Linked DNA regions of Anolis sagrei. The protein of the gene in region 3 interacts with the protein of the main gene of each other region in a pairwise test. Links are inferred from orthologs where the notes say so. Each region holds a gene or a part of one and is shown on either strand. Other genes may lie near its edges. The genes, in order: TACC1, PPP1CB, SH2D4A and SORBS3.

Region 1 (7,409 bases), on a different chromosome or scaffold from region 3:
ACTAGCTGTACCCACCACGACACACGTTGCTGTGGCCAACCTTCCCTCGCTCTTTCTCTCCTTCTTTCCCTTCTTTCTTCGCTCTCTCTTTCCTTCCCTTTTCTTCTTTCCTTCTCTCCTTCCTTCCTCCTCTATCTCTTTCCTTCCCCCTTTTTCTTTTCCTTCCCTTTCTCTCCTTGCTTCCTTCTCTACCTCTTTTTTTCCTTCCTTCACTTTTTGCTTCCATCCTTCCGTCTTTCCTTCCCTCTTTCTCTCCTTCTTTTCCTTCTTTCTTCACTCTCTTTCCTTCCCTTTTCTTCTTTCCTTCTCTCCTTCCTTCCTCCTCTATCTCTTTCCTTCCCCCTTTTTCTTTTCCTTCCCTTTCTCTCCTTGCTTCCTTCTCTACCTCTTTTTTTCCTTCCTTCACTTTTTGCTTCCATCCTTCCGTCTTTCCTTCCCTCTTTCTCTCCTTCTTTTCCTTCTTTCTTCACTCTCTTTCCTTCCCTTTTCTTCTTTCCTTCTCTCCTTCCTTCCTCCTCTATCTCTTTCCTTCCCCCTTTTTCTTTTCCTTCCCTTTCTCTCCTTGCTTCCTTCTCTACCTCTTTTTTTCCTTCCTTCACTTTTTGCTTCCATCCTTCCGTCTTTCCTTCCCTCTTTCTCTCCTTCTTTTCCTTCTTTCTTCACTCTCTTTCCTTCCCTTTTCTTCTTTCCTTCTCTCCTTCCTTCCTCCTCTATCTCTTTCCTTCCCCCTTTTTCTTTTCCTTCCCTTTCTCTCCTTGCTTCCTTCTCTACCTCTTTTTTTCCTTCCTTCACTTTTTGCTTCCATCCTTCCATCTTTCCTTCCCTCTTTCTCTCCTTCTTTTCCTTCTTTCTTCACTCTCTTTCCTTCCCTTTTCTTCTTTCCTTCTCTCCTTCCTTCCTCTATCTCTTTCCTTCCCCCTTTTTCTTTTCCTTCCCTTTCTCTCCTTGCTTCCTTCTCTACCTCTTTTTTTCCTTTCTTCGCTTTTTGCTTCCATCCTTCCTTCTGTCTTTCCTTCCCTCCCTCTTTCTCTCCTTTCTCTCCTTTCTTCGCTCTCTCTTTCCTCCCCTTTTCTTCTTTCCTTCTCTCCTTCCTTCTCTATCTCTTTCCTTCCTTCCTTCCTTCCTTCCTTCACTTTTTGCTTCCATCCTGTCTTTCCTTCTTTCCTTCCCTCCCTCCCTCTTTCTCTCCTTTCTTTTCTTTCTTCGCTCTCTTTCCTCCCCTTTTCTTCTTTCCTTCTCTCCTTCCTTCCTTCTCTACCTCTTTCCTTCCCCCTTTTTCTTTTCCTTCCCTTTCTCTCCTTGCTTCCTTCTCTATCTCTTTTCTTCCTTCCTTCGCTTTTTGCTTCCATCCTTCCATCTTTCCTTCCCTCCCTCTCTTCTTCTTTCCCTTCTTTCTTCGCTCTCTCTTTCCTTCCTTTTTCTTCTTTCCTTCTCTCCTTCCTTCCTCCTCTATCTCTTTCCTTCCCCCTTTTTTCTTTTCCTTCCCTTTCTCTCCTTGCTTCTCTACCTGTTTCCTTCCTTCCTTCGCTTTTTGCTTCCATCCTTCCTTCTGTCTTTCCTTCTTCCCTCCCTCTTTCTCTCCTTGCTTCTCTACCTCTTTCCTTCCTTCCTTTGCTTTTTGCTTCCAGACCCAGACCTTGTGAAACTACAACTCCCATGACTCCATAGTTGTTATAGTGGTGTCTTTTAATGTAGATAATCTCCCAATGTTTGCATGGCTCCATGCTATGGGAGCTGTAGTTTGTCGAGGCTCGAGCAATAATTAGCAAAGAAGAGACCCCCTAGACCTTGTCAAACTACAACTCCCAGGATTTCATAGCAATTGCTGTGGCGTGTAGATATACCCTATATTTGCATGGCTCAGTGCTATGGAATCCTGGGAGCTATAGTGGTGGCAAAGAAGACTCCAGTCCATGTGAAACTACAACTCCCAGGATGCCAGAGAAGTTACAGTGATATCCTTCAATGTAGATAAACTCCCAATAGTTGCATGGCTCCATGCTATGGGAGTTGTAGTTTGTCGAGGCTCCAACACTAATTAGCAAAGAAGACCTGCCTAGACCTTGTCAAACTACAACTCCCAGGATTTCATAGCAGTTGCGGCAGTGTGTAGAGACACCCTATATTTGCATGGCTCAGTGCTATGGAATCCTGGGAGCTATAGTGGTGGCAAAGAAGACTCCAGACCTTGTGAAACTACAACTCCCATAGTTGTTATAGTGGTGTCTTTCAATGTAAATAAACTCCAAATGCTTGCATGGCTCCATGCTATGGGAGCTGTAGTTTGTCGAGGCTCCAGTACTTATTAGCAAAGAAGACCCACCAGACCTTGTGAAACTGCAACTCCCAGGATGCCATAGAAGTTATAGTGATATCCTTCAATGTAGGTAGATTCCCAATGTTTGCATGGCTCCATGCTATGGGAGCTGTAGTTTGTCGAGGCTCCAGCACTAATTAGCAAAGAAGACCCACCATACCATGTCAAACTACAACTCCCAGGATTTCATAGCAGTCGTGGTGGTGTGTAGAGACACCCTATATTTGCATGGCTCAGTGCTATGTTTGCAAAGAAGACTCCAGACCTTGTGAAACTACAACTCCCAGGATGCTAGAGAAGTTACAGTGGTATCCTTCAATGTAGATAAGATTCCCAATATTTCCATGGCTCCATGCTATGGGAGCTGTAGTTTGTCGAGGCTCGGGCACTAATTAGCAAAGACCCCCCCAGACCTTGTGAAACGACAACTCCCAGGATTTCATAGCAGTTGCGGTGGTCTGTAGATATACCCTATATTTGCATGGCTCAGTGCTATGGAATCCTGGGAGCTATAGTGTTTGCAAGGAGGACCCACCAGACCTTGTGAAACTACAACTCCCAGGATTTCATAGCAGTTGCGGTGGTGTGTAGATACACCCTATATTTGCATGGCTCAGTGCTATGGAATCCTGGGAGCTATAGTGTTTGCAAGGAGGACCCACCAGACCTTGTGAAACTACAACTCCCAGGATTTCATAGAAGTCACTGTGGTGTGTAGATACACCCTATATTTGCATGGCTCAGTGCTATGGAATCCTGGGAGCTATAGTGTTTGCAAGGAGGACCCACCAGACCTTGTGAAACTACAACTCCCAGGATTTCATAGAAGTCACTGTGGTGTGTAGATACACCCTATATTTGCATGGCTCAGTGCAATGGAATCCTGGGAGCTATAGTGTTTGCAAGGAGGACCCACCAGACCTTGTGAAACTACAACTCCCAGGATTTCATAGAAGTTACTGTGGTGTGTAGATACACCCTATATTTGCATGGCTCAGTGCTATGGAATCCTGGGAGCTATAGTGTTTGCAAGGAGGACCCACCAGACCGTGTGAAACTACAACTCCCAGGATTTCATAGAAGTTACTGTGGTGTGTAGATACACCCTATATTTGCATGGCTCAGTGCTATGGAATCCTGGGAGCTATAGTGTTTGCAAGGAGGACCCACCAGACCTTGTGAAACTACAACTCCCAGGATTTCATAGCAGTTGCGGTGGTGTGTAGATACACCCTCTATTTGCATGGCTCAGTGCAATGGAATCCTGGGAGCTATAGTGTTTGCAAGGAGGACCCACCAGACCTTGTGAAACTACAACTCCCAGGATTTCATAGAAGTTACTGTGGTGTGTAGTTACACCCTATATTTGCATGGCTCAGTGCTATGGAATCCTGGGAGCTATAGTGTTTGCAAGGAGGACCCACCAGACCTTGTGAAACTACAACTCCCAGGATTTCATAGAAGTCACTGTGGTGTGTAGATACACCCTATATTTGCATGGCTCAGTGCTATGGAATCCTGGGAGCTATAGTGTTTGCAAGGAGGACCCACCAGACCTTGTGAAACTACAACTCCCAGGATTTCATAGAAGTTACTGTGGTGTGTAGATACACCCTATATTTGCATGGCTCAGTGCTATGGAATCCCGGGAGCTATAGTGTTTGCAAGGAGGACCCACCAGACCTTGTGAAACTACAACTCCCAGGATTTCATAGAAGTTACTGTGGTGTGTAGATACACCCTGTATTTGCATGGCTCAGTGCTATGGAATCCTGGGAGCTATAGTGTTTGCAAGGAGGACCCACCAGACCTTGTGAAACTACAACTCCCAGGACTCCATACCCCAGAGCCATGCAATTAGAAGGTGTATTTCCATTGAAGAATGGCAGTTCCAGTAGCGTGGAAGTCCATTCCTGCCAGGGTGTCAAATGCAGCCTGGGAGTGAGTCACGTGTCGGGGGGCCACCTCACGTCTGAAGGGGGCCCCTCCCTCCCGGCCAATCAGGGCCTGCCTTTCCTCTCTGCTCCGGGGCGGGAGGGGGGGGGAGCGTTTTGACGCAGCGGGCCCCGCCCCCGCTGCCTGGCTGCTTGCACGCGTTGGGCGACGTAACGTGTGAATGCGGGCTGGGCGGGCGAAAGGCGGGTTCGGAGGAGGCGGGACCGAGGCAGGCCGGCTCCTTGGGCATCCGTCAGAGGGTCCCTGCCTGTCTTGCCTTGCGAGGCGGAGTCAGAGGAGGAGGAGGAGGAGGAGGAGGAGGAAGGATGGCGCTGGGCTGAACCACATCCGCGCCGGATCCGCTCCATTTTGACGCCGTGTGGCCCCGATGGCGTTCAGCGCCTCCTGGCAGCTCCTCTCGCCGGTCCAGTGGGCCAAGTGGACCTGGTCCGCCGTCCGAGGAGGAGGGGGGGCCGCAGGGGGAGGGGGGTCCGGACCCGAGGAAGAGGAGGAAGAGGAAGAAGAAGAGGCTCAAGGAGAGACCCGCTCGCTCAGCCTCAGGCAAGTCCCGCGTCAGCGCGCTCACACGTGACGCGTGTACACTCGCGTGTCAGCCAAGGAGGGGGAGGAGAGGCGCGCTCACACGTGACGCGTGTACACTCGCGTGTCAGCCAAGGAGGAGGAGGAGAGTGCGCTCACACGTGACGCGTGCACACTCGCGTGTCAGCCAAGGAGGGGGAGGAGAGCACGCTCACACGTGACGCGTGTCAGCCAAGGAAGAGGAGGAGGGCGCGCTCACACGTGACTCATGCACACTCGCGTGTCAGCCAAGGAGGGGGAGGAGAGCACGCTCACACGTGACGCGTGTACACTCGCGTGTCAGCCAAGGAGGAGGAGGAGAGTGCGCTCACACGTGACGCGTGTACACTCGCGTGTCAGCCGAGGAGGAGGAGGAGAGCGCGCTCACACGTGACGCGTGCACACTCGCGTGTCAGCCAAGGAGGAGGAGGAGAGAGCGCTCACACATGACGCGTGTATACTCGCGTGTCAGCCAAGGGAGGGGGAGGAGAGAGCGCTCACACGTGACGTGTGTACACTCGCGTGTCAGTCATGGAGGGGGAGGAGAGCATGCTCACACGTGACACGTGTACACTCGCGTGTCAGCCAAGGAGGAGGAGGAGAGTGCGCTCACACGTGACGCGTGTACACTCACGTGTCAGCCAAGGAGGAGGAGGAGAGCGCACTCACACATGACGCGTGCACACTCACATGTCAGCCAAGGAGGGGGAGGAGAGCATGCTCACACGTGACACGTGTACACTCGCGTGTCAGCCAAGGAGGAGGAAGAGAGTGCGCTCACACGTGACGCGTGTACACTCACGTGTCAGCCAAGGAGGAGGAGGAGAGCGCGCTCACACGTGACGCGTGTACACTCGCGTGACAGCCAAGGAGGAGGAGGAGAGCGCGCTCACACGTGATGCGTGTACACTCACGTGTCAGCCAAGGAGGAGGAGGAGAGCACGCTCACACATGACACGTGTACACTCATATGTCAGACAAGGAGGAGGAGGACAGCGAGCTCACACATGACGCATGTACACTCGCGTGTCAGCCAAGGAGGAGGAGGAGGGCACGCTCACACATGACGTGTGTACACTTACGTGTCAGCTGAGGAGGGGGAGGAGAACGCGCTCACACGTGACACGTGTACACTCGCGTGTCAGCCAAGGAGGGGGAGGAGAGGCGCACTCACATGTGACACATGTACACTCGCGTGTCAGCCAAGGAGGAGGAGGAGAACGCGCTCATACGTGATGTGTGTACACTCGCGTGTCAGCCAAAGAGGAGGAGAGCGCGCTCACACGTGACGCGTGTACACTCGCGTGTCAGTCGAAGAGGAGGAACAACAACAACATCCTAATGGGTGTGCTCCAGCTTGCAAGCAGGCTCAAGGCGCATCCCTATACCGGAGAATGGATGGGCTCCTCTGGAATGCTATTTGGTCCTTGGGAGTTGTAGTTTAGTGAGAGGCTGGGTGCAGAAGGAATGCTCCTTTGGGGTCCCCCTTGGGTGCATCTCCATTGAGTTTTTCAGGAGAGATTGGGGGCATCTCCATAGGAGAATAAATGCAGCTAGACTCAACTTGCATTGCCCTGGCTCAGTACTATGTGAGTTGTAGTTTTTTGAGGAGGTATTGTGTGTGTCTTCAATGCTATATGAGCCTGACAGTTGTAGTTTTGGGAGGTATTGTGTGCATCTCCATTGGAGAATGAATTCAGTTTGATCCCCCTTTGAAATTACCCTGGCTCAATGCTATGGGAGTTGTAGTTTTGGGAGGTATTGTGTGTGTTCAATGCCATTTGATCCCAGAAGTTCTAGTTTGGGGAGGTATTGTGTGCATATCCATTGGAGAATCAATGCAGATCGACTCTACTTGAATTGTCTTGGCTCAATGCTGTGGGAGTTGTAGTTTGGGAGGTATTGTGTGTGTCTTCAATGCTATTTGAGCCTGACAGTTGTAGTTTTGGGGGGTATTGTGTGCATCTCCATTGGAGAATGAACTCAGTTTAATCCCCCTTTAAACTGCCCTGGGTCAGTGGTATGGGAGTTGTAGTTTTTTGGGAGGTATTGTGTGTCTCTTCAATGCTATTTGAGCCTGACAGTTGTAGTTTTGGGAGGTATTGTGTGCATCTCCTTTGGAGAATGAACTCAGTTTAATCCCCCTTTAAACTGCCCTGGCTCAATACTATGGGAGTTGTAGTTTTGGGAGGTATTTGTGCATCTGCATTGGAGAATGAATGCCGATCGACTACACTTGAATTATCCTGGTTCAATGCTATGGCAGTTGTAGTTTGGGGAAGTATTGTTTATATCTCTACTATAGAATGAATTCAGTTCAATGCTCCATTGAATAGCCTTGGCTCAATGCTATGGGATATGGGAGTTGTAGTTTAATGAGAAATTGAGTGCATCTCCATTGTAGAATGAATTATTATTATTATTATGTTTATTTATTATAATAATAATTCATTCTATAATGGAGATGCACACAATCACACATTAAACTACAACTCCCATAATCACATAGCATTAAGGCCTGCTGCTCCTGGGAGTTGTAGTTTAATGAGTTTGGGGAGGTATTGTGTGCAACTCCATT
Region 2 (7,141 bases), on a different chromosome or scaffold from region 3:
ATTTGCCCAGTGTCTATGTAACATCAACTAATTTCATACAAAGGGCCCTTCCAGATGGGTCCTTTAGTTGTGATTTGAAGGCAACTAGTTTTAACTACAGGTGGTCTGAGTTTTAAAACTGTTTTATTTTATTTTATGTGTTAATAGTGGTTGTTTTATGACTTTACGTGATATTATTTTTATGCTCATGTACTGTTTATAACAACAACATCATCATAAACAACAATTTATTTATACCCCGCCACCATCTCCCGAATGGGGACTCAGGGTGGCTAACATGAGGCCAAGCACTACAAATACAACAAATCAAAATAAAATACATACAGTAAATAATGTCAAATGAAATATAAACAAAACAAATTAATACAAAATCAAATACATGAAATGAAATGAAATAAAATAATAAAAATCTGCATGTTATATATTCCACTTGTAGTGCCTCGTAAGCTGCCCAAAGGCCCTTTTGGGAGATGGTGGCGGGATATAAATAAAATTTATTATTATATGATACAGAAGATTAGTACACAGAGAACAAGAGCACTATGCTAGCTTTTGTATTTGATTACACGTCAGACACTTCTCAAATGTCTAGGGCTGTGTGATGTATCGGCGAATAACGCGTGCAGATCCAAGTAGGGTGGCCTTTTGCAGCTGACAGATGGTAATTTTGTCAGTGCCAATTGTTTTTAAGTGCAGGCCGAGGTCTTCAGGCACTGTGCTGACCACCACTGGGACCACCTTTGTTATTATTATTATTATTATTATTGTATCCCAGGGTCTGAATCTGGGTTTTCTGTTTATCCCAGATTATCTGGCAGTGCAGACTCATATAATAGTTTAAATCCTGGGATATAAGGCCAGTCTTAGAGTTCTTCCACACAGCCCTATATCCCAGAACATCAAGGCAGAAAAATTATCTCTCTCCCCAAGGACATCAGACAAGCCCCAACGCTGGCAGTCTTTAGGAAGAGCTTGAAGACCTGGCTGTTCCAGTGTGCCTTTCCAGAATAGGAAACTCCCGGCATTATGTCCCAAATGCACCTTGTCAGAGATTTAGGATTGTCTGCACATTGCACTTACCTCCAAAAACCTCTACATATCACCTGTTCAAGTCCAGCACTTTTAAATTTTGTCTATTACATTAGGTTTTTAATGCGTTATGGTGTTATTGTTTTTAGTGTTTTATTGTTTGCTTGATGTTTATTAGTTGCTTTATGAGTTTCACTGTTGTATTTGTATGCTGTTGTTTTGTTGGTGGCCTTGGCCTTTGTAAGCCGCATCGAGTCCTTCGGGAGATTTTGTGGGGTATAAATAAAGTTAATAATAATATCTGAGTGTGGACTCAGATAACCCAGGGTTTTTTTGGTCGTGTCAGGAGAGACTTGGGAATCTTCAAGTCGCTTCTGGTGTGAGAGAATTGGCTGTCTGCAAGGACGTTGCCCAGGGGACGCCTGGATGATTTGATGTTTTTATCATCCTTGTGGGAGGCTTCTCTCATGGCCCCGCACGAGGAGCTGGAGCTGATAGAGAGAGCTCATCCGCCTCTCCCTGGATTCAAGCCTGCGACCTGTCAGTCTTCAGTCCTGCCGGCACAGGGGTTCCTCGGCTGTGGAACGCCCTTCCCATGGACATTAGATCAGCCCCTTCGTTAATGGTGTTTCGAAGAAAACTAAAAACCTGGCTGTTCGAACAGGCGTTCGGTTAAACAATGCAATGTACACGATGAATATAGGAAACGGAATTATGGAAGACGAATTGGATCACGATTCTAGTTACGAGACGTTAATGTGTTGTTATTGATATGTCATTTTGTTTATTATGCTGTTAATGGTTTTAAAATTTTGTATGCTGCTGGATTGACTTTTGCTCTTGTTGTAAACCGCGTTGAGTCGCCTACAAGGCTGAGAAATTGCGGTATACAAGCAAAGTAAATTAACCCACTGTGCCACTGGGGGCTCCTCAGATAACCCAGTTCAAAACTTTTGAGATAACCCAGTTCAAAACAGATATTGTGGGATTTTCTGCCTTGACATTCTGGGATATAGCGCTGTGTGAAGGGTCCTAAGGTAACTCACTCTATATCTGCAAGTATTCCAAAACAAGATCTTTTTTAATGTAAATTTTGGTCCAGCAAATTTAGGCCAAGGGGATATTCGACCTGTATAAACTTTATGTGCGTAAGGTGTTTATGTACAATAAACTTATTCTTCCCTTCCTCATGATATGTCATTCTGTATATGCAAATATTCCAAAATCAATTTATAAAAAATACTTCTGAGCCCTGAGCATTTAGGGTAAGGGATCTTCAATCAGTATAAGGTGTTTCCCCCCATTTACAACAGCGTCAATCTCCTACAACTACCTCCTCTTTGGCTGAAACCGGAGTCAAAGCAGAGGCCGCCTCGCAGGAGACGTTTGAGGCGAGAAACTACCGAAAAAGGGAATAACTTCGCCCCTCGCCGGGGAATAACCGACACAAACCCGCAATACGCAGGGGCAAATGCGACTGCCGCCTTCCCCTCTGTTTGAGGGACCCCTCTTGGGCCTCCCTCCCTCCAAAGCTCTTTCATTCACTCCCTCAGTCAGTCACTCACCTTCCAGCAGCCTGGTGATGAGACTATCCACATTCAGCTCCCCGTCCGCCATTTTGTAGCCAATGGACTCCTCAGTCGCGGGCGGGGACGGAAGGAAGGAAGGAAGGGAAGAAGGAGGGCGCCTCAGCGAAGACAAGGAAGGAAGGAGGCGGGGAAGGCGGCCGCTCCCTGCAAGGACCCCTCCCGCCCCGGGATCTCCCACCGGCTCCGCCAAACAGGGAGGAGGGAGAGAGAGAGAGAGAGAGAGAGAGGGAGAAGAAGACGACGAGGTCCCCGCTCTCCTCCTCCTCCTCCTTCTCCTCCCCGCCTGCCTTAGGCCTCGCTGCGCATGCGCCTCGGAGTCCTTCCCTCTTTCGCCTCTCAACTGCGCGGGAGAATCTCGGGTTCGACTCCAAAAAGACCAAGCCTCCCTTTCCCCCTCCTTTCCCTTCCCCCTCCCTTTTGTAAAGCAGCACTGCGCATGCGCGAGAGCGGTGCTGTGTTGTGCTTACTCCCCAAGCGATCCGTGAGCGGTGCGCATGCGTGACGCTTCGAGTCCTGTCCTCTGCTTCTCTTCCCCCCCCCCCCTCTTTTCTTGTGTATCCTGGTAACCGAGGTCTTGGGGCCTAGTCGGGTTTAATAAAGGTGCAGGCCAAGCGTGTTTTATGCGGCAAATAGAATCATAGAATCAAAGAGTTGGAAGAGACCTCATGGGCCATCCAGTCCAACCCCCTGCCAAGAAGCAGGAATATTGCATTTAAATCACCCCTGACAGATGGCCATCCAGCCTCTGTTTAAAAGCTTCCAAAGAAGGAGCCTCCACCACACTCCGGGGCAGAGAGTTCCACTGCTGAACGGCTCTCACAGTCAGGAAGTTCTTCCTCATGTTCAGATGGAATCTCCTCTCTTGTAGTTTGAAGCCGTTGTTCCGCATCCTAGTCTCCAGGGAAGCAGAAAACAAGCTTGCTCCCTCCTCCCTGTGGCTTCCTCAAGAGAGGAGATTCCATCTGAACATGAGGAAGAACTTCCTGACTGTGAGAGCCATTCAGCAGTGGAACTCTCTGCCCCGGAGTGTGGTGGAGGCTCCTTCTTTGGAAGCTTTTAAACAGGCTGGATGGCCATCTGTCAGGGGTGATTTGAATGCAATATTTCTGCTTTTTGGCAGGGGTTGGACTGGATGGCCCATGAGGTCTCTTCCAACTCTTTGATTCTATGATTCGCCTGATGTTTCCCCGGCATCTATGGCAGGCATCCTCAGATGGAAACTAGGAAAGTGGGGATGCTGGCGAAACGTCAGGAGAGAATGCTTCTGGAACATGGCCATGCAGCCCTGAAAACTCACAGCAACCAAGTGATTCTGGGCATTAAAGTCTTCGACAATTCATGGCCCCTTTAATGGCCCCTTCCACACAGCTGTATAAAATCCACATTGAGATGGATTATATGACAGTGTAGACTCATGGCTCTTTCCACACATCTGGACACAATCCACACCTGAATACAATCCACACTGAGCTGGATTATATGGCAGTGTGGACTCATAGGCCACTTCCACACAGCTTTAAAAAAACCCCCATTGAAGGCTATTAGGAATGGTGGGAGCTGAAGTCCAAAACACCTGGAGGGCCAAAGTTTGCCCATGTCCGGTGTGGACTCATAGGCCCCTTCCACACAACACTGCAACCCAGCTTTTGCACTTTCTTCTTTCACCTTAGTTATAAGGTTTCTCAACTCCTCCTCGCTTTCAGCTATGCATTATCCAAAAAAGTAAGGGGAGGAAATATTATTTTGTATGACATTTAAAGAAAAAGCACACAACACTTTTTTTATCAGAGAAATTAGAGGCAGTTGCTCTGGAAAGCTAATTCAATTTGAATTAAAATAGGATTATATCCTTTTAAGTACAGCAACAAATCTATTTTCTCTCAGAAGAAAAACAAGCACTGTGTGCACTCTGCACTTTGGGAAGGAATATTACAGCATGTTTAAAGATGATTGCCTCATATTATGAGAAAGCCGGAAAGTTCACCTTATTCGAACTGAAAGAGCCCTCTAGTCTAACCCCAAATATGGGGGAGTACAACTGCTAAGGAACTCCTATTTAAAGACTTCCAAAGATGGAGAGTCTGTCATCCTCAACAGTTAGTATAATTTAATACTTAGTAAAATCAAAGGTGTCCTTTTTCACTCCAGGCAGCACCTCTCACAATGAAGTCCTCATCCCTAATATCAATATTTATGAGATTCCTTGGTTGTTGAAATATCAGTCTGTATATACTCATCTCCAATATGAAAGGCTGGTTGAGCAAAAGAAGTGTTAGAGGAAACAAATTGCTCTGGAAGAAGAAAGAAAGAAATGTTATGCAGGAACCTTCATTATGTGAAACAAGGGGATTTTGAATTAATAAGAGAGATCTGGGATGCTAGCAAACAAACAATTTCTTTTCAAGTTCCCTGCTTAACACCAAATGAGCAATATACTAAATGGTTCGGATGGTTGATCAGGGATTTAAGTATATAGGGCAGTGGTTCCCAATCTCTTTTTGATCAGGAGCCACTTTGATCAGGGATCACTCTCCAACATTAGTACCAAAAGGGTTACGAATTGGTTTTTGGTCAACTTTAGATTTGGTTTAGCTATTTGGAGTGCTGATTCAGAAAATTGCATTGGATAGACCACATCAACTCTAGTTTCTGATACATAACATATGCCATCCAGTAGTTGCCATCTGCTCGCCCACAGAAAACCATATTTAATAATCTAGAGCTGATGTGGTAGTAGTAATCTTTCGTGGATAGTCAGCCACTCCCCTCCCAACATCCCCGTTGCCTCGGCACTATAAGAGTGTTTTGTGAGACCAGTCGTTCTCGTTGCCACGTGATTTTGAGGCAATGGTGTAGTAATGGTGAGACCGCGGACCATATTTTCATTCTTGCAGACCACTGGTGGTCCACGGACCACAGGTTGGGAACTACTGGTATAGGGTAAGCATTGGCCAAGATTCTTAAGGACACGACTAGTGAAACAATGTGAAGTATATGATCAGATTAGATTTCCCTCTCGTTTTTTATTATTTATTTATGATAATACTGCTACGACGGTTGTACAGGCAGTCCCCAAATTACAAACATCCCTGGGGTGAGGCAACAGGAAGTGAGAATAAATCTTCCTTCAGGGAGGAAAATCAATTCCTGGAAGAGTTATCATGTGAAAAAAGTATCTCCATTCTTATCACCAATCCTTGTTTCCACGACAACCCAAATTTTTCAAAATCGAAAAAGGGATAAAAAGTGAGGTGAAATCTACTAAATAGGGGCACAGACAGCAAAACAAATGTTAGAGGGTGTTAATCCTTCCTTATACTATCCTAAATTTTAAAAAACCAATTTGGGATAGCATTACATTTGAAAAAATTACCCATTCTGGCTTACATACAAATCCCTACTTAAGAATAACCTACAGATTCTATCTTATTTGTAACCTGGGGTTTCCCTGTAATGTCGGAGGATTTCCCCTTTCCCCCATACATTCCTCTATACATAACAATCTTAATCATAAACTTTTCCCCCTCCCTTTCCACAACTGTGCTTTTGTGATCATAGTTTTTCCTATATCTCTTTTCCTCGTCTGCTTTCATCTTACATCATCACACTTATTTTTTCTTTTACGAAAAGGAAGTACTAAAACAGTTTCTTTCACCACTAGAAAATGTATGATTGTATCAAGGGTGTGGCACCTATCCAGATTTTTTCCACTGTCTGTATAGCTGCATAATAAATATTTGTCACTAACTTTTTGAGCACAAGGGTTTTGTGGTTTATTGTTAACTGCTGTGAAGTCAACCTCACCTTATGGCAACCTTCTGAATGAGAGACCTCCAAATCACCGTTTTCAACAGGCCTGCAGACTCAGAGCCAAGTCTTCCTCGACTGTGTTTATCCACCTGTAATGCTATCTTCTTCTGTTTCTACTGCCTTCTAACTTAGCAAATATTACTGCATTTTCTCATGAGTTGTATCATCTCGTGATATGGACAAAGTATGGCATTCTCAGTTTAGTCAGCTGAAGGACACATTTATTTGTCTTTTGAGAAGCCCAGGATGTTCACAGAACTCTTCCAACATCACATTTCAATGAGTTCATTATCTTCCTATCAGCTTACTTCACTTTTACAATCATGCATAGAAACTGGAAATATGATGGTGTGGACAATACTAATGTTAGTACGCAATAATACATCTTGACATTTCAAGATCTTATCTAGTTCCTTCATAGCTACTAGGCTTAATTTTAAAAAATGGTTCAAAACTCATTTCGGATGTAGGGGGTGCTGGTGGTTCAATTCTAAAGTCAATTCCGATTTTCACAGAAAAAGATGTTCAAAACTTTTCAAAAAACTTCCGAGACTTCCAAATTCATCCTTAATGGTTTGAAAGTGTTATTTCCTGTTTCATTGGGTGGTCTTTACTTTGAAAGTAGTTGTTTTACTCCAGAAGGGGGGGGGGGGGAGAAGCAAAGGGAGGAAATTCATCCACTCTGGTTTAAAACACTTTGCAGGCTCAGTGAG
Region 3 (7,096 bases):
CCATAGATGCAGGCGAAACATCAGGAGAGAATGCCTCTAGACCATGGCCATATAGCCCGAAAAAACCTACAACAACCCACTTATGGTTATGTTGTTTTTACTTTGTATGTTTTGTGATGTTACCTGGGAACCACTCTGAGTCCCCTCAAGGAGATGAAGCGGTATATAAATAAAGTTTTATTATTATTATTATTATTATTATTATTATTGTATATTCCACTACTGGCAGGAAGTTCTTCCTAAAGTGTAGATGGAATCAAGGAGCTCCACTGGCTGCCATTCATCTACTGGACCCAATTCAAGGTGCAGGTTCTTACCTACAAAGCCCTGAACGGTTTAGGACCCGCCTACCTGCGTGACCGCATCTCTGTATACGAACCCACACGATCCCTTTGATCATCCGGAGAGGCCCTGCTCTCGATCCCACCAGCATCGCAGGCGCGATTGGTGAGGAGGAGAGAGAGGGCCTTTTCGGTGGTGGCCCCTCGACTCTGCAACTCACTCCCTAAAGACATCAGACAGGCTCCAACTCTGGCAGTCTTCAGGAGGAGCTTGAAGATGTGGCTGTTCCAGTGTGCCTTCCCGGAATAATGATCCCATAGCACTTTACATATCTTTAAGTCTGCTCGTATGCCCTTCCACAAACACCAGTATCACCTTTCGTTCATGTCCCAGCATTATTTCCAATTTTAACTCTACATTTGGCCTTCCCACTGTTTTTAATTATGTGTTGTTTTATTGATAATGTTGTGTATTTTATTGTCTATGTTTTTTTAATTGCTTGTATTGTTGTTATTATTGCTTGTATTGTTGTGTTTGGGCTCGGCCTCATGTAAGCCGCACCGAGTCCATTGGGGAGATGGTAGCAGGGTACAAATAAAGTGTTGTTGTTGTTGTTGTTATTATTATTATTATTATTATTATTATTATTATTATTATAATACTATATCTCTGTGTGTATGAATTATATTTTCAAAGTGATGGTACTCACCTTTAAGGCCCTACATCTAGGGCCGATGTACCTGAGGGACCGCCTCACCCCCTACCAACCCCAGAGATCCCTCCGTTCTGAGGACCAAGATTTATTGGAAATTCCGTGTCAAGACCTTGCGTCTAACAGCAACCAGACGCAGAGCCTTTACAGCAGTGGCACCATCACTCTGGAATACTCTGCCACCTGAAGTCCGAGCCTTGCGGGACATCAACTTTCCGCAGGGCATGGAAGACATATCTGTTTCGACGGGCTTTTGATCTCTGATATTGCTGTTTTTAAATAGTTTATTATTATTATTATTATTATTATTATTATTATTATTATTATATTATCTGAGGATGCTTGCCATAGATGCAGGCGAAACGTCAGGAGAAATGCCTCTAAAACAGTGGTTCTCAACCTGGGGGTCGGGACCCCTGTGGGGGTCGCGAGGGGGTGTCAGAGGGGTCACCAAAGACCATCAGGAAACATTTTCTCTTTGTCATGGGTGTTCTGCATGGGAAGTTTGGTCCAATTCTATCATTGGTGGGGTTCAGAATGCTATTTCATTGTGGGTGAACTATGAATCCCAGCAGCTACAACTCCCAAATGGCAAGGTCTATTTTATCCAAACTCTACCAGTGTTCACATTTGGGTATATTGTGCCAAGTTTGATCCAGATCCATCACTGTTTGAGTCCACAGTGTGATATGGATATAGGTGAACTACAACTCCAAAAACTCAAGGTCAGTGTCCACCAGACTCTCCCAGTATTTCTCTTGGCCATGGGAATTCTGTGTGCCAAATTTGATTCAATTCCATCATTGATGGAGTTGAGAAGGCTCTTTGATTTTAGGTGAACTATAAATCCCAGCAATTCCAACATTCCCAAATGACAAAATCAATCCCCTCCAACCCCACCAGTATTCAAATTGGGGCGTTTCGGGTATTTGTGCCAAATTTGGTCCAGTGAATGAAAATATATCCTGCATATCAGATATTTATATTACGATTCACAACAGTAGCAAAATTAAAGAAGTAGCAATGAAAATGACATTATGGTTGGGGGTCACCACAACGTGGGAACCTGTACTAAGGGGTCGCGGCATTAGGAAGGTTAAGAACCACTGCTCTAGAACATGGCCATATAGCCCGAAAAAACCCACAAGAACGGAGAGATTATTATTATGATCTTTTCCCCTGCAATTTGAATTTGAATCCGTTGATCCGCATCCTAATCCCCAAAACAAAAGAAAACGAGTATGCAACTTCCTCAATGTGACATCCTTCCAGATATTAAAACACGGCTATCATGTCCCCTCTCAGCCTTCTTTACTCCTTCTGAAGCCAGGCTAGATAATCCCATTTTCCTCCTGGGCTCACACACTGACCTGCCTTCCGCACTGGTTTCGGCACAGTGGCCACATCTTCTCTTTCCTTCCACTTTCGGATCTGCTCCTGCCTCATCTTGAAGAACAAGATCTGCTTTTGCTCTTCACTGAGCTCTGCCAGCAGCTCTGGGTCCACATACATGTCGGCCAGGATTTGCTTCAGCATGGTTGTAGAAGAAGCTTCTCACAGAGAGGAAGGAGTAGGAGCAAGAAGAAGAGAAGGCTGATCTGAGGAGAGAAGAGAAGGAAGAAGTCACTTTCTCTGCCGCCTTTCCAGCAGAAACACATCAGTGGCCAAAGGGGAGACAAAAATCTCTCCCCACCCTTAAGATACAGCAGGAATGCAGGCTCTCCACATCGCAATTACTCTCACGGCGACTGCAACCTACTTTTAGCTCTTGGATTTCCTGCAAGGACTGACAAAGTAAACAAAGAGCTCAAAGAACACAAAGAAAAGGAAGACTTGGCAACACTTACACCAAAACCGAGCCCTTGTGTCCTGGAATAAGCAGGGCGTTTGTTCAAGGTAATGAATATAAAGCAGCCGCAACGAGGACCAGAGAGGAGTGTTCAGATCTGATGCCTCGTGGAAGTCCCCTCTGCTTTTAAGCACTGGCTGCTAAAGTCACAGGTGTGGCTTACCTCTCTGACTCAGCAAGCCGTTCTGTTATGAGACCAGGAAGTGAAGGGATGGCTTGTAAAGAGGTGAACCCTAACCCTTTCCTGTCTCACAAATCTTAAGAAAGTAAAGTTCTGGCCGGTGCCAAACGCCCACAGAAAAAGTGATAGGGCCAATGTCAGTAAACACCAGTGTCAAGGAGTGAGATATAATTTATCTTCTGCGTGAACGGAAATACACACCAGAGTTCCCAGCATGAATAAGGGTGAAAATAGCAGAACTGGGTGGGAATGAGGTTCTGATCGGATCAATAGTGTGGTGTAAAGGCTGCTTTGATGCTTCCCCCTCTGCACACACACAACTGCTATTTACATTTTTAAACGGACAGGTTCATTGCATTGATGTTTATTTATTTCGATCTTCGGGGAGGCCCTCCTTTCGCCCCTGCCAATTTCACAAGCCCGTCTTGTGGGCACAAGGAAAAGAGCCTTCTCCTCTGTGGCCCCCCGACTCGGGAAGTCATTACCTGGAGAGATCAGGAAAGCCCCTACACTAGAAACGTTTAAAAAGAACCTTAAAACCTGGCTCTTCCGCTGCGCCTTTGGCGAGTAGGTGGACAACATGACACTATTGCTCCCCTCAACACTTCTGTCACTGCCTCATGGGAAGTTTAGTTTCATAGAATCATAAAATCAAAGAGTTGGAAGAGACCTCATGGGCTATCCAGTCCAACCCCCTGCCAAGAAGCAGGAATGTTGCATTCAAATCACCCCTGACAGATGGCCATCCAGCCTCTGTTTAAAAGCTTCCAAAGAAGGAGCCTCCACCACACTTCGTGACAGAGAGTTCCACTGCTGAACGGCTGTCAGTCAGGAAGTTCTTCCTCATGTTCAGATGGAATCTCCTCTCTTGTAGTTTGAAGCCATTGTTTCGCGTCCTAGTCTCCAGGGCAGCAGAAAACAAGCTTGCTCCCTCCTCCCTGTGGCTTACTCTCACATATTTATACATGGCTATCATATCTCCTCTCAGCCTTCTCTTCTTCAGGCTAAACATGCCCAGCTCCTTAAGCCGCTCTTCATAGGGCTTATTCTCCAGACCCTTGATCATTTTAGTCGCCCTCCTCTGGACACATTCCAGCTTGTCAATATCTCTCTTGAATTGTGGTGCCCAGAATTGGACACAATATTCCAGGTGTGGTCTAACCAAAGCGGAATAGAGGGGTAGCATTACTTCCCTAGATCTAGACCAGGGGTCCTCAAACTTTTTAAACAGAGGGCCAGGTCATGGGCCCTCAAACTGTTGGAGGGCCGGATTATAATTTGAAAAAAAAAAACATGAATTAATTCCTATGCACACTACACATATCTTATATGTATTGCAAAAAAACCCTTAACAAGACAATACAATAATTAAAATGAATAACAATTTTAACAAATGTAAACTTAATAGTATTTCAGTGGGAAGTGTGAGTCTGCTTTTGGCTGATGAAATAGGATTGTTGTTGTTGTTGTTGTTGTTGTTGTGTGCTTTCAAATCGTTTCAGAGTTAGGTTGACCCTGAGCGAGGGCCGGGTAAATGACCTTGGAGGGCTGTATCCGGCCCCCAGGCCTTAGTTTGAGGACCCCTGATCTAGACACTATGCTCCTATTGATGCAGGCCAAAACCCCATTGGCTTTTTTTGCCCCCACATCACATTGTTGGCTCATGTTTAACTTGTTGTCCACAAGGACTCCAAGATCTTTTTGACACGTACTGCTCTCGAGCCAGGCATCGTCCCCCATTCTGTATCTTTGCATTTCGTTTTTCCTGCCAAAATGGAGTATCTTGCATTTGTCACTGTTGAACTTCATTTTGTTAGTTTTGGCCCATCTCTCTAATCTGTCAAGATCGTTTTGAATCCTGCTCCTGTCCTCTGGAGTATTGGCAATCCCTCCCAATTTGGTGTCATCTGCAAACTTAATGAACCTGCCTTCTAGCCCTTCATCTAAGTCATTAATAAAGATGTTGAACAGGACCGGGCCCAGGACGGAACCCTGCGGCACTCCACTCGTCACTTCTTTCCAGGATGAAGAGGAAACATTGGTGAGCACCTTCTGGGTTTGTCCATTTAACCAATTACTGATCCACCTCACCGTAGTGAGGGAAAGAGCCTTCTCCTCTGTGGCCCCCTGACTCTGGAACTCATTACCTGGAGAGATCAGGAAAGCCCCTACACTAGAAACGTTTAAAAAGAACCTTAAAACCTGGCTCTTCCGCTGCGCCTTTGGTGAGTAGGTGCAACATGACCCTATTGCTCCCCTCAATGCTTCTGTCACTAGAGTACATGCCCCCTCCCCCAAATGGGAAGTTTAGTTTCACAACCCTGTGTTTCTTTTTGAGCTCCCTGCAAATAACTTGCTCCTATTTTTATCTCATTAGAGTTTTTTAACATTTTATCCTGTACATGTGACCTACCCACTGTTACTGCGATTATGTTTATTATAATGTTATTTTGTTACTGTACTCATATCTTTTTTTAATGCAATTTTGATGATGTTGCTTGTTGTTTATGTTTTGGTTTTATTTTGCTGTAATTTGTCATTCGGGCTTGGCCCCATGTAAACGGCTCTGAGTCCCCATTGGCGAGATGGTGGCGGGGTATAAATAAAGTTTATTACTTATTTATTTACTAACTATACTTGTATATCGCCTTTCTCAGCCTATCGGCGACTCAAAGCAGTTTACAACAAGTCAGTACACATAATAGCAAAATACCGATTAAGCATTGAACAATATGAAATCACAATAAAAACAATAAAACCAACACCATAGAATCATAGAATCAAAGAGTTGGAAGAGATCTCATGGGCCATCCAGTCCAACCCCTTGCCAGGAAGCAGGAATATTGCATTCAAATCATCCCTGACAGATGGCCATCCATCCTCTGTTTAAAAGCTTCCAAAGAAGGAGCCTCCACCACACTCCAGGGCAGAGAGTTCCACTGCTGAACGGCTCTCACAGTCAGAAAGTTCTTCCTCATGTTCAGATGGAATCTCCTTTCGTGTAGTTTGAAGCCGTTGTTTCGCGTCCTAGTCTCCAGGGAAGCAGAAAACAAGCTTGCTCGTCCCTGTGGCTTCTTCTCACATATTTATACATGGCTATCATATCTCCTCTCAGCCATCTCTTCTTCAGGCTAAACATGCCCAGCTCCTTAAGCCGCTCCTCATAGGGCTTGTTCTCCAGACCCTTGATCATTAGTGTCTCCTAGTTAAAAACGTTGTCCAAAATCCGTTGTCAAGTGATTCCATTTCCTATATCAGTTACCCTGCATTTGTAAACGCTTGCTCATATAACCATGTCTTAACTTGTCTCCGAAATGTTAAGAGTGAGGGAGCCAATCTAATCTCCTTAGGGAGGGTGTTCCATAGCCGAGGGGCCACCACAGAGAAGGCCCTGTCTCTCGTCCCCGCCAAACATACTTGTGATGAAGCCGGGATTGAGAGCAGGGCCTCCCCAGACGATCTCAAAGTCCTAGAATCTAAGGCCCAGATGGTTCATAAGGGGAGATGCATTCAGACAAGTAAGTCAGGCCAGAACCATTTAGGGCTTTATAGACTAAAGCCAGCACTTTGAATTGTGCCTAGTAGCAGACTGGCAGCCAGTGGAGCTGGTGCAGCATAGGAGTTGTATGCTCCCTGAGGGCCGCTCCTGTTAGCATTCTGGCTGCCATCCATTGGACTATTTGAAGCTTCTGGACAGTCTTCAAAGGCAACCCCACGTAGAGTGCATTACAGTAGTCTATACGAGATGTAACCAGAGCCAAGTTAGGCTTCCAAAGGTATGGGCACAGCTAGTGCACAAGATTTAGCTGGGCGAATGCTCCCCTGGTCACTGCCAAAACTTGGGGTTCCAGGCTCAGCGATGAATCCAGGATCACACCCAGACTGTGAACCTGCATCTTCAGAGGGAGTGTAACCCCATCCAACACAGGCTGTAACCCTATGCCCTGTTCGGCCTTACAACTGACCAGGAGTGCCTCTGTCTTGTTTGACTTCATTTAGTTTGACTTCAGAGCAAAAGGTAGCCCCTGAATACAGAATGTTTACTCCAATTAAGAAAGCCAAAAGACGAAAT
Region 4 (7,524 bases), on a different chromosome or scaffold from region 3:
GGCTGGTTGCTCACAATGGGACACAGCACAAAACATTGCAATTTTTGTCGCAGATTGGCGAGTATGGATTGCAGACTATGAATGCATCTTGTGACGGTGCGAGTGGCACCACCTATGTATAGAACTGTTAGTTGTAAGACTTAAACTGTTGTATCATGCTTAATCCTGCCCCTTTTTAACACTGCTTATGTATAGTTGTATGGATTGGTTGCTTGTAGCTGTCAATCAGTACTGTTTGGCTCCACCTCTTCCTGCAAGAGGGGAGAACTTCCTTTTTCTTCTTCATTCTGCCATCAGAGTTCGTACCAGATGGACATGAGTAAAAGACTTGATTCTAAAGGACCCTGATTTAAGTTACCTCTTAGCATCAGTTCTGAGGTTTTTTACCCCTGGGACTCATGCTTTATGTCCAGATCATCCTGGACAATTATTGAGGAGACCCAGGCGCCTTCAAGTCGGTTCTTTTGGCACCAAAGGAAGATCCCGAATCTTCAAAACATAGGCCATCTGAACTGGGGTTGTGGTTTGCCCCAGCATTCACAGCCATTGAGGAAAGAGGAAACTTGGAGAGGCTTCTCAGCTTCAAACCCCTTGGACCCAGGACTGATTGAGACTGTAATATATGTTTTCCTTCACCCCTCTAAAGTTTTCCAGCTCATTGCTTTAAAGAAATGACTTTGTGATAAATAAAACTTATTTTGAGCTATTTACAGCGTTTTGGGTTTTTGGGAGTTCCAGTTTCCTATAGGAGGGCAAGAAACAATCCCCTGGGGGAAAGGTGCCACGTCCATCCCTCCTTTATTGAGAATAAGAGCCCCCAGGCGCAACGGCACAATCTACATCAGGTATGAGCAAACATGCGCCCTCTGGGTATTTTGGACTCCAACTCCCACAATTCCTAACAGCGCTCTCTGGGCCTCCAAAAAATTGGGTTCCCTAAAAAATTTGTGAAAATCCTGCGGCTCCTCCATGATGACATGATGGCAACAGTCTTGGACAGCAATGGCTCCCAAAGTGACCCATTTAAGGTGGAATCGGGTGTCAAACAGGGATGATGTGTTATTGCCCCAACCTTATTCTCCATCTTCATCGCTATGATACTTCATCTTGTTGATGGGAAGCTTCCCACTGGAGTGGAAATCATCTATTGGACAATGTATTGTTGAAGGCTTTCATGCCAGAATCACTGGGTTGTAGGTTTTTTTGGACTATATGGCCATGTTCTAGAGGCATTCTCTAGAGGAATGCCTCTAGAACATGGCCATATAGCCCAAAAAAACCTACAACAATCCATCTATCAGACAGATGGCAAGCTGTTTAATCTCAGCAGACTGAAAGCAAAAACTAAAATTACAACTACATAGAACTCCAGTATGCTGATGACAACATCGTCTGTGCGCATTCAGAAGAAGACCTACAAGCCACTCTAAACACCTTCGCAGAAGCATATGAGAAGCTCGGCCTGTCATTAAACATCGAGAAAACCAATGTGTTCTTCCAGCAAAAGTCACCAGCCAACCCTCTCCAATGCCAGAAATGCAGCTTAATAGTGTAACATTAGAAAATGTGGACCATTCTGCTCCCTTGGCAGCCACCTCTCCACCAAAGTCAATATCGACACCAAAATACAACACCGCCTGAGCTCTGCGAGTGCAGCATTTTCCCGAATGAAGCAGAGAGTGTTTGAGGACCGGGACATCTGTAGGGAGACCAAGATGCCATTCCCCTCCCAACCCTGCTCTATGCCTGCGAAACATGGACTGTCTACAGACGTCACATGCAACTCCTGGAACGATTCCATCAGCGCTGCCTCCGGAAAATCCTGCAAATCTCTTGGGAAGACAAGCGGACAATATCAGCATGCTGGAAGAAGCAAAGACCACCAGCATTGAAGTGATGCTCCTCTGCCATCGACTCTGCTGGACTGGCCACATCATCCGGATGCCCCACCACCGTCTCCCAAAGCCGTTGCTCTACTCTGAACTCAAGAACGGAAAACAGATGTTGGTGGGCAGGAAAAGAGATTGAAAGATAGGCTCAAAGCCAACTTTAAAAACCCTGGCACAGACACTGAGAACTGGGATATCTTTGCCCCTTGATCACTCCAGCTGGAGTTCAGCTGTGACCAGCAGTGCTGCAGAATTTGAAGAGGCACGAATGGAGGGTGAAAGAGAGAAACATGCCAAGAGGAAGGCGTATCAAACCAACCCTGACCAGGACCGCCTACCGCAGTGGTTCTCAACCTGGGGTCCCTAGATGTTTTTGGCTTACAACTCCCAGAAATCCCAGCTAGTTTACCAGCTGTTAGGATTTCTGGGAGTTGTAGGCCAAAAACATCTGGGGACCCCAGGTTGAGAACCACTGGCCTTCCATCTGGAAACCAATGCCCTCACTGTGGGAGAAGATGCAGATCAAGAATTGGGCTCCACAGTCACCTATGGGCCCACAACCAGAACACCTACCTTGGAGGACCATCATCCTCGGACTATAAGGGATCGCCTAAGTAAGTAAGTTAGGAATTGTGGGAGTTGAAGTCCAAAACACCTGGAGGGCCCAAGTTTGCCCATGTCTACACAGTCAATGCTGTGGGATCCTGGGAGTTGTAGTTTGGTGAAGCACCAGCACAACCCCCAGGATTCCATAACATGTTTAAGTGGGTTCAAACTGCATTACTTTTGCAGTGTAGACGAACCCTTGGGAAACAAACGACTCTGTTTCTCTGAAATGTTTGTGTGGCAAGTTCCCCAAAACTCACCCTGCGTCGCGAAGGGACTTGACTGCCTTGCGGAGTAGATGTGGCCTGAGGAGATATCAGGCTGGAGCTGTGGGCAAACGGGGAGCTCCTCTGGAGGTGCGAAGGGATGAAGTCGTCCAGGCTGAGTCCCAGGTTGGCCTCGGGGGCCCCGGCCCTAGAGATGAGGCTGGGCATCTCTGCTGCGATGGAGGAGGAGGAGGAGGAGGAGGAGAGAGGGCCTCCAGGACCAAGACGAGGATGACGCTCACTAGACGAGATGCCCTGGGTGGGTAACAAAAGGAGAGGGTGGCTTTAATACAGTCCCCAAGTTATGAACAAGATAGGTTCTGTAGGTTTGTTCCTCGGGTGAATTTGTATGTAAGTCGGAACAGGTACATTTTCTAAGTGTAACTCCATATCTATAAATAAACATTTAATGTCTTGTCGAAGGCTTTCATGGCTGGAATCACTAGGTTCTTGTGGGTTTTTTCGGGCTATAGAGCCATGTTCTGGAGGCAATTTTTCTCCTGACGTTTCGCCTGCATCTATGGCAAGCATCCTCAGAGACCTGACTACCTCTGAGGATGCTTGCCATAGATGCAGGCGAAACGTCAGGAGAAATGCCTCTAGAACATGGCTCTATAGCCCGAAAAAACCCACAAGAACCTAAAAATGTAAGGTTCGTTTGTGGGATTGACGTAACTCAAAAACCACCGGGCGAATTGACACCAAATTAGGACACAAGGCACCTCTCAGGCCAACGAGTGACCATCACTCAGAAAAACACTGAAAAAATACATTACAATGCATGCATAAAACCATATATATATATATATATATATATATATATATATATATATATACACACACACACGCAAACACACATATACACAAATATATACACACATATATACACACCCAAAACACATATACACAGACTGGGCCACAGCAACTCGTGGCAGGGGACGGCTAGTCTATAAATAAAAATGTAATGTTCGTTTGTGGGATTGACGTAACTCAAAAACCACTGGGCGAATTGACACCAAATTAGGACACAAGACCCCTCTCAGGCCAACGAGTGACCATCACTCCTAAAACACTGAAAAATACATTACAATGCATGCACAAAACCACATATATATATATATATATATATATATATATATATATATATATACACACACACACACACACACACACACACACGCAAACACACATATACACAAATATATACACACATATATACACACCCAAAACACATATACACAGACTGGGCCACAGCAACTCATGGCAGGGGACGGCTAGTCTATAAATAAAAATGTAATGTTCGTTTGTGGGACTTACGTAACTCAAAAACCACTGGGCGAATTGACACCAAATTTGGACACAAGGCACCTCTCAGGCCAACGAGTGACCATCACTCAGAAAAACACTGAAAAAATACATTACAATGCATGCACAAAACCACACACACACACATACACACACACACACACACATATATATACGCAAACACACATATACACAAATATATACACACATATGGAGCCCCCGGTGGCGCAGTGGGTTAAAGCACTGAGCTGCTGAGCTTGTTGATCGAAAGGTCACAGGTTCGATACCAGGGAGTGGCGTGAGCTTCTGCTGTCAGCCCTAGCTTCTGCCAACCTAGCAGTTCGAAAACATGCAAATGTGAGTAGATCAATAGGTACCGCTCCGGCGGGAAGGTAACGGCGCTCCATGCAGTCATGCCAATGGCCACATGACCTTGGAGGTGTCTACGGACAGCGCTGGCTCTTCGGCTTAGAAATGGAGATGAGCACCAGAGTCCCAGAGTCAGACATGACTGGACTTAATGTCAGGGGACTACCTTTACCTTTACCTTATACACACATATACACACACCCAAAACATATATACACAGACTGGGCCACAGCAACTCGTGGCAGGGGATGGCTAGTCTATAAATAAAAATGTAATGTTCGTTTGTGGGATTAACAGAACTCAAAAACCACTGGGCGAATTGACACCAAAGTTGGATACAAGACACCTACTAACCTAAGGAGTGACCATCACTCAAAAAATGGATTTTGTCATATGGGAGTTGTAGTTGCTGGGATTTATAGTTCACCCACAATCAAAGAGCATATTGAACCCCACAAACGCGGGAATTGAACCAAACTTGGCACACAGTTCTCCCATCACTGTGGACTCAAACAATGAGAGATCTGGACCAAACTCTACACAAATACTCAATATGCCCAAATGTAAACACTGGTGGAGTTTGGGGGGAATAGAATCTTAACATTTGGGAGTTGTAGTTGCTTGGATTTATAGTTCACCTACAATCACAGAGCATTCTGAACTCCACCAATGATAGAATTGGGCCAAACCTCCCACACAGAACCCCCATGTGGGCCACAGCAATGCGTGGCAGGGGACGGCTAGTATATACATTAAAATGTAATGTTCGTTTGTGGGATTAACAGAACTCAAAAACCACTGGGTAAATTGACACCAAATTTGGACACAAGACACCTAACAACCCAATGTATGTCCTTCACTAAAAAAAATGATTTTGTCATTTGGGAGTTGTAGTTTGCTGGGATTTATAGTTCACCTACTATCAAAGAGCACTCTGAACCCCACCAACGATGGAATTGAACCAAATTTGGCACACAGTTCTCCCATGACCAAGAGAAAATACTGGAAGGGTTTGATGGGCAGAGTCCTTTGGTTTTGGAGTTGTAGTTCACCTACAATCAGAGATCACTGTGGACTCAAACAACGATTGATCTGGACCAAAGTTGGCACAAATACTCAATATGCCCAAATGTGAACATTGCTTAGGTTTGGGAAAATAGAATCTTGACATTTGGGAGTTGTAGTTGCTGGGATTTATAGTTCACCTACAATCACAGAGCATTGTGAACCCCACCAATGATAGAAATGGGCCAAACTCAGCACCCCCTGAATCAAAATCCTGGCTACGGGCCTGATCCTGCATATCAGATATCTCCATTACAATTCATAGGTAGGTAAAGGTTGTCCCATGACATTAAGTCCAGTCATGTCTGACTCTGGGGTGTGGTGCTCATCTCCATTTCTAAGCCGAAGAGCCAGCGTTGTCCGTAGACACCTCCAAGGTCATGTGGCGGGCATGGCTGCATGGAGCGCCGTTACAATTCATAACAACAGCAAAAACATATTTATGAAGAATGTTCTGGTTGGGGGTCACCACAACGTGAGGAACTGTATTAAGGGGTCGCGGCATTAGGAAGGATGAGGAACATTGCATTAAGAAGAACTTCCTGACAGAGTTTCCACCTTGGAGTCTGGTGCAGTTTTTGTAGGCTTGGATGGCCATCTGTTGGGCCTGCTTTGATTGTGTGTTCCTGCCTGGCAGAAAGGGTTGCACACTGGACGGACTTTGTGGTCTCCTCGAACTCTAGGAGTGTATGAGTTTGTTGCCCACACAGAAACCTTGGCTCCCTCTCCTCCCCCGTCCGGTCTTATGCGCCCGGGCAGGAATGCAGCTGTGCAACGGAGCACACTGTACAGCCTTGTTTGGGGCTGAATAATTAATGTGAAATGGGTTGCATTGTCACAGCGGAAGGCCAGACACAACAGGCATGCACCCCCTGCGCTGGCACAGGAACGTGGCCAGGCAGTGACCTTGCTGTGGGCAATGCACCAGCTGTGGGAAGACGGCTTGCTTCTCCGCCTTGCTCCTTTAACTCCCTGGCATCATTTTTGGTGTGAGAAGCTCCCTTGGGCAGCTTTGCAATGGAAAGGCCCATTTATCCTGCCACATCCCCATCTTGAGTCTGACTATATTGGAGGGAGGCTATCTTTGTAGACTGCAGTGGCTCCGCTTCTTCCCGGAGAGTCACTCCCAGTTGGTGAAGCTGGGGGATACCTGTTCGGACCTGTGGCCTTTGACCTGTGGGATAGAATCATAGAATTGGGCATATCGGGTCTTTGTGCCAAATGTGATCCAGTGAATGAAAATACATCCTGCATATCAGCATATTTACATTACGATTCATAACAGGAGCAAAATTGCAGTCATGGAGTATCAACAAAAATAATGTTATGCTTTTGGGTCACCACAACATATTAAGGAACTATATTAAGGGGTTGTAGTATTAGGATGGTTGAGAAACACTGATATAAGGGGGTTGGTTGAACCCTCGGTTTGCAAGTAAAACTGAATCGCCATGTTGCGATGCATGCCTAAGAATGTTTGGGAAGCTCCGATCTAGAGGTCAGTTTGGACAAAAAAAAAAGGGATAGATTTTCCCTGTTTAAGTTCATTCCCCACCATTTGATTTCCGAAGCTTTTTGCTGGGAACATGTGGAACTGGACGTGTCCAGAGCTCTATTCTCTCTGCGTATTTCCTGCATGGCTCCCAATGTGCCGCCACACCCCTGTTTTGCGCATGTTATCTAATCATCCCTTGGAGAGGGGTGCTCCTGAGGCCGCATCATTCCTTCCATGGGAATCAGAGACGGCAATGCCTCCATTTGGCTGCCAGACAAGGGCCTGATGGGAAGCCCAGAAATGGATCCAAGCCCTGCCGTTTGTGACCGGAGGCATCGAGAAGCGGTCCCCTGGGATCCCACATTCCAAAGCAATGTGTTCTTGAACATTTCCTGAAGATTCCAACGCATAAGCTATGTGAGCAAAAAGTACTTCCAGGATAGCACTGATAAGACACAGATAAAATACACAAGGCACCAAAATATCCAAAAGGCACCAGACCGTGTGTGTTCTTGGATGCTAAGCTGGG

What was found.
Region 1: the proteins of SH2D4A (region 3) and TACC1 interact in binary tests that used the Homo sapiens proteins (3 or more experiments, as listed by UniProt). The two-hybrid records come from large-scale screens. The link is inferred for Anolis sagrei from reciprocal best matches to the Homo sapiens genes SH2D4A and TACC1.
Region 2: the proteins of SH2D4A (region 3) and PPP1CB interact in binary tests that used the Homo sapiens proteins (3 or more experiments, as listed by UniProt). The two-hybrid records come from large-scale screens. The link is inferred for Anolis sagrei from reciprocal best matches to the Homo sapiens genes SH2D4A and PPP1CB.
Region 4: the proteins of SH2D4A (region 3) and SORBS3 interact in binary tests that used the Homo sapiens proteins (3 or more experiments, as listed by UniProt). The two-hybrid records come from large-scale screens. The link is inferred for Anolis sagrei from reciprocal best matches to the Homo sapiens genes SH2D4A and SORBS3.

The regions. Positions count from the first base shown.
Region 1 is NC_090027.1:2,516,254-2,523,662, forward strand, and holds the start of TACC1 (transforming acidic coiled-coil-containing protein 1), read left to right. Parts: upstream 1-4,407; 5' UTR 4,408-4,640; coding exon 4,641-4,813; intron 4,814-7,409. UniProt on the Homo sapiens protein: Involved in transcription regulation induced by nuclear receptors, including in T3 thyroid hormone and all-trans retinoic acid pathways. Might promote the nuclear localization of the receptors.
Region 2 is NC_090021.1:42,777,149-42,784,289, forward strand, and holds the start of PPP1CB (serine/threonine-protein phosphatase PP1-beta catalytic subunit), read right to left. Parts: upstream 3,019-7,141; 5' UTR 2,647-3,018; coding exon 2,595-2,646; intron 1-2,594. UniProt on the Homo sapiens protein: Protein phosphatase that associates with over 200 regulatory proteins to form highly specific holoenzymes which dephosphorylate hundreds of biological targets.
Region 3 is NC_090026.1:55,294,553-55,301,648, reverse strand, and holds the start of SH2D4A (SH2 domain-containing protein 4A), read right to left. Parts: upstream 3,010-7,096; 5' UTR 2,842-3,009; intron 2,761-2,841; exon of another isoform or gene 2,688-2,760; intron 2,593-2,687; 5' UTR 2,531-2,592; coding exon 2,365-2,530; intron 1-2,364. UniProt on the Homo sapiens protein: Inhibits estrogen-induced cell proliferation by competing with PLCG for binding to ESR1, blocking the effect of estrogen on PLCG and repressing estrogen-induced proliferation. May play a role in T-cell development and function.
Region 4 is NC_090027.1:1,016,645-1,024,168, forward strand, and holds the start of SORBS3 (vinexin), read right to left. Parts: upstream 3,013-7,524; 5' UTR 2,930-3,012; coding exon 2,756-2,929; intron 1-2,755. UniProt on the Homo sapiens protein: Vinexin alpha isoform promotes up-regulation of actin stress fiber formation. Vinexin beta isoform plays a role in cell spreading and enhances the activation of JNK/SAPK in response to EGF stimulation by using its third SH3 domain.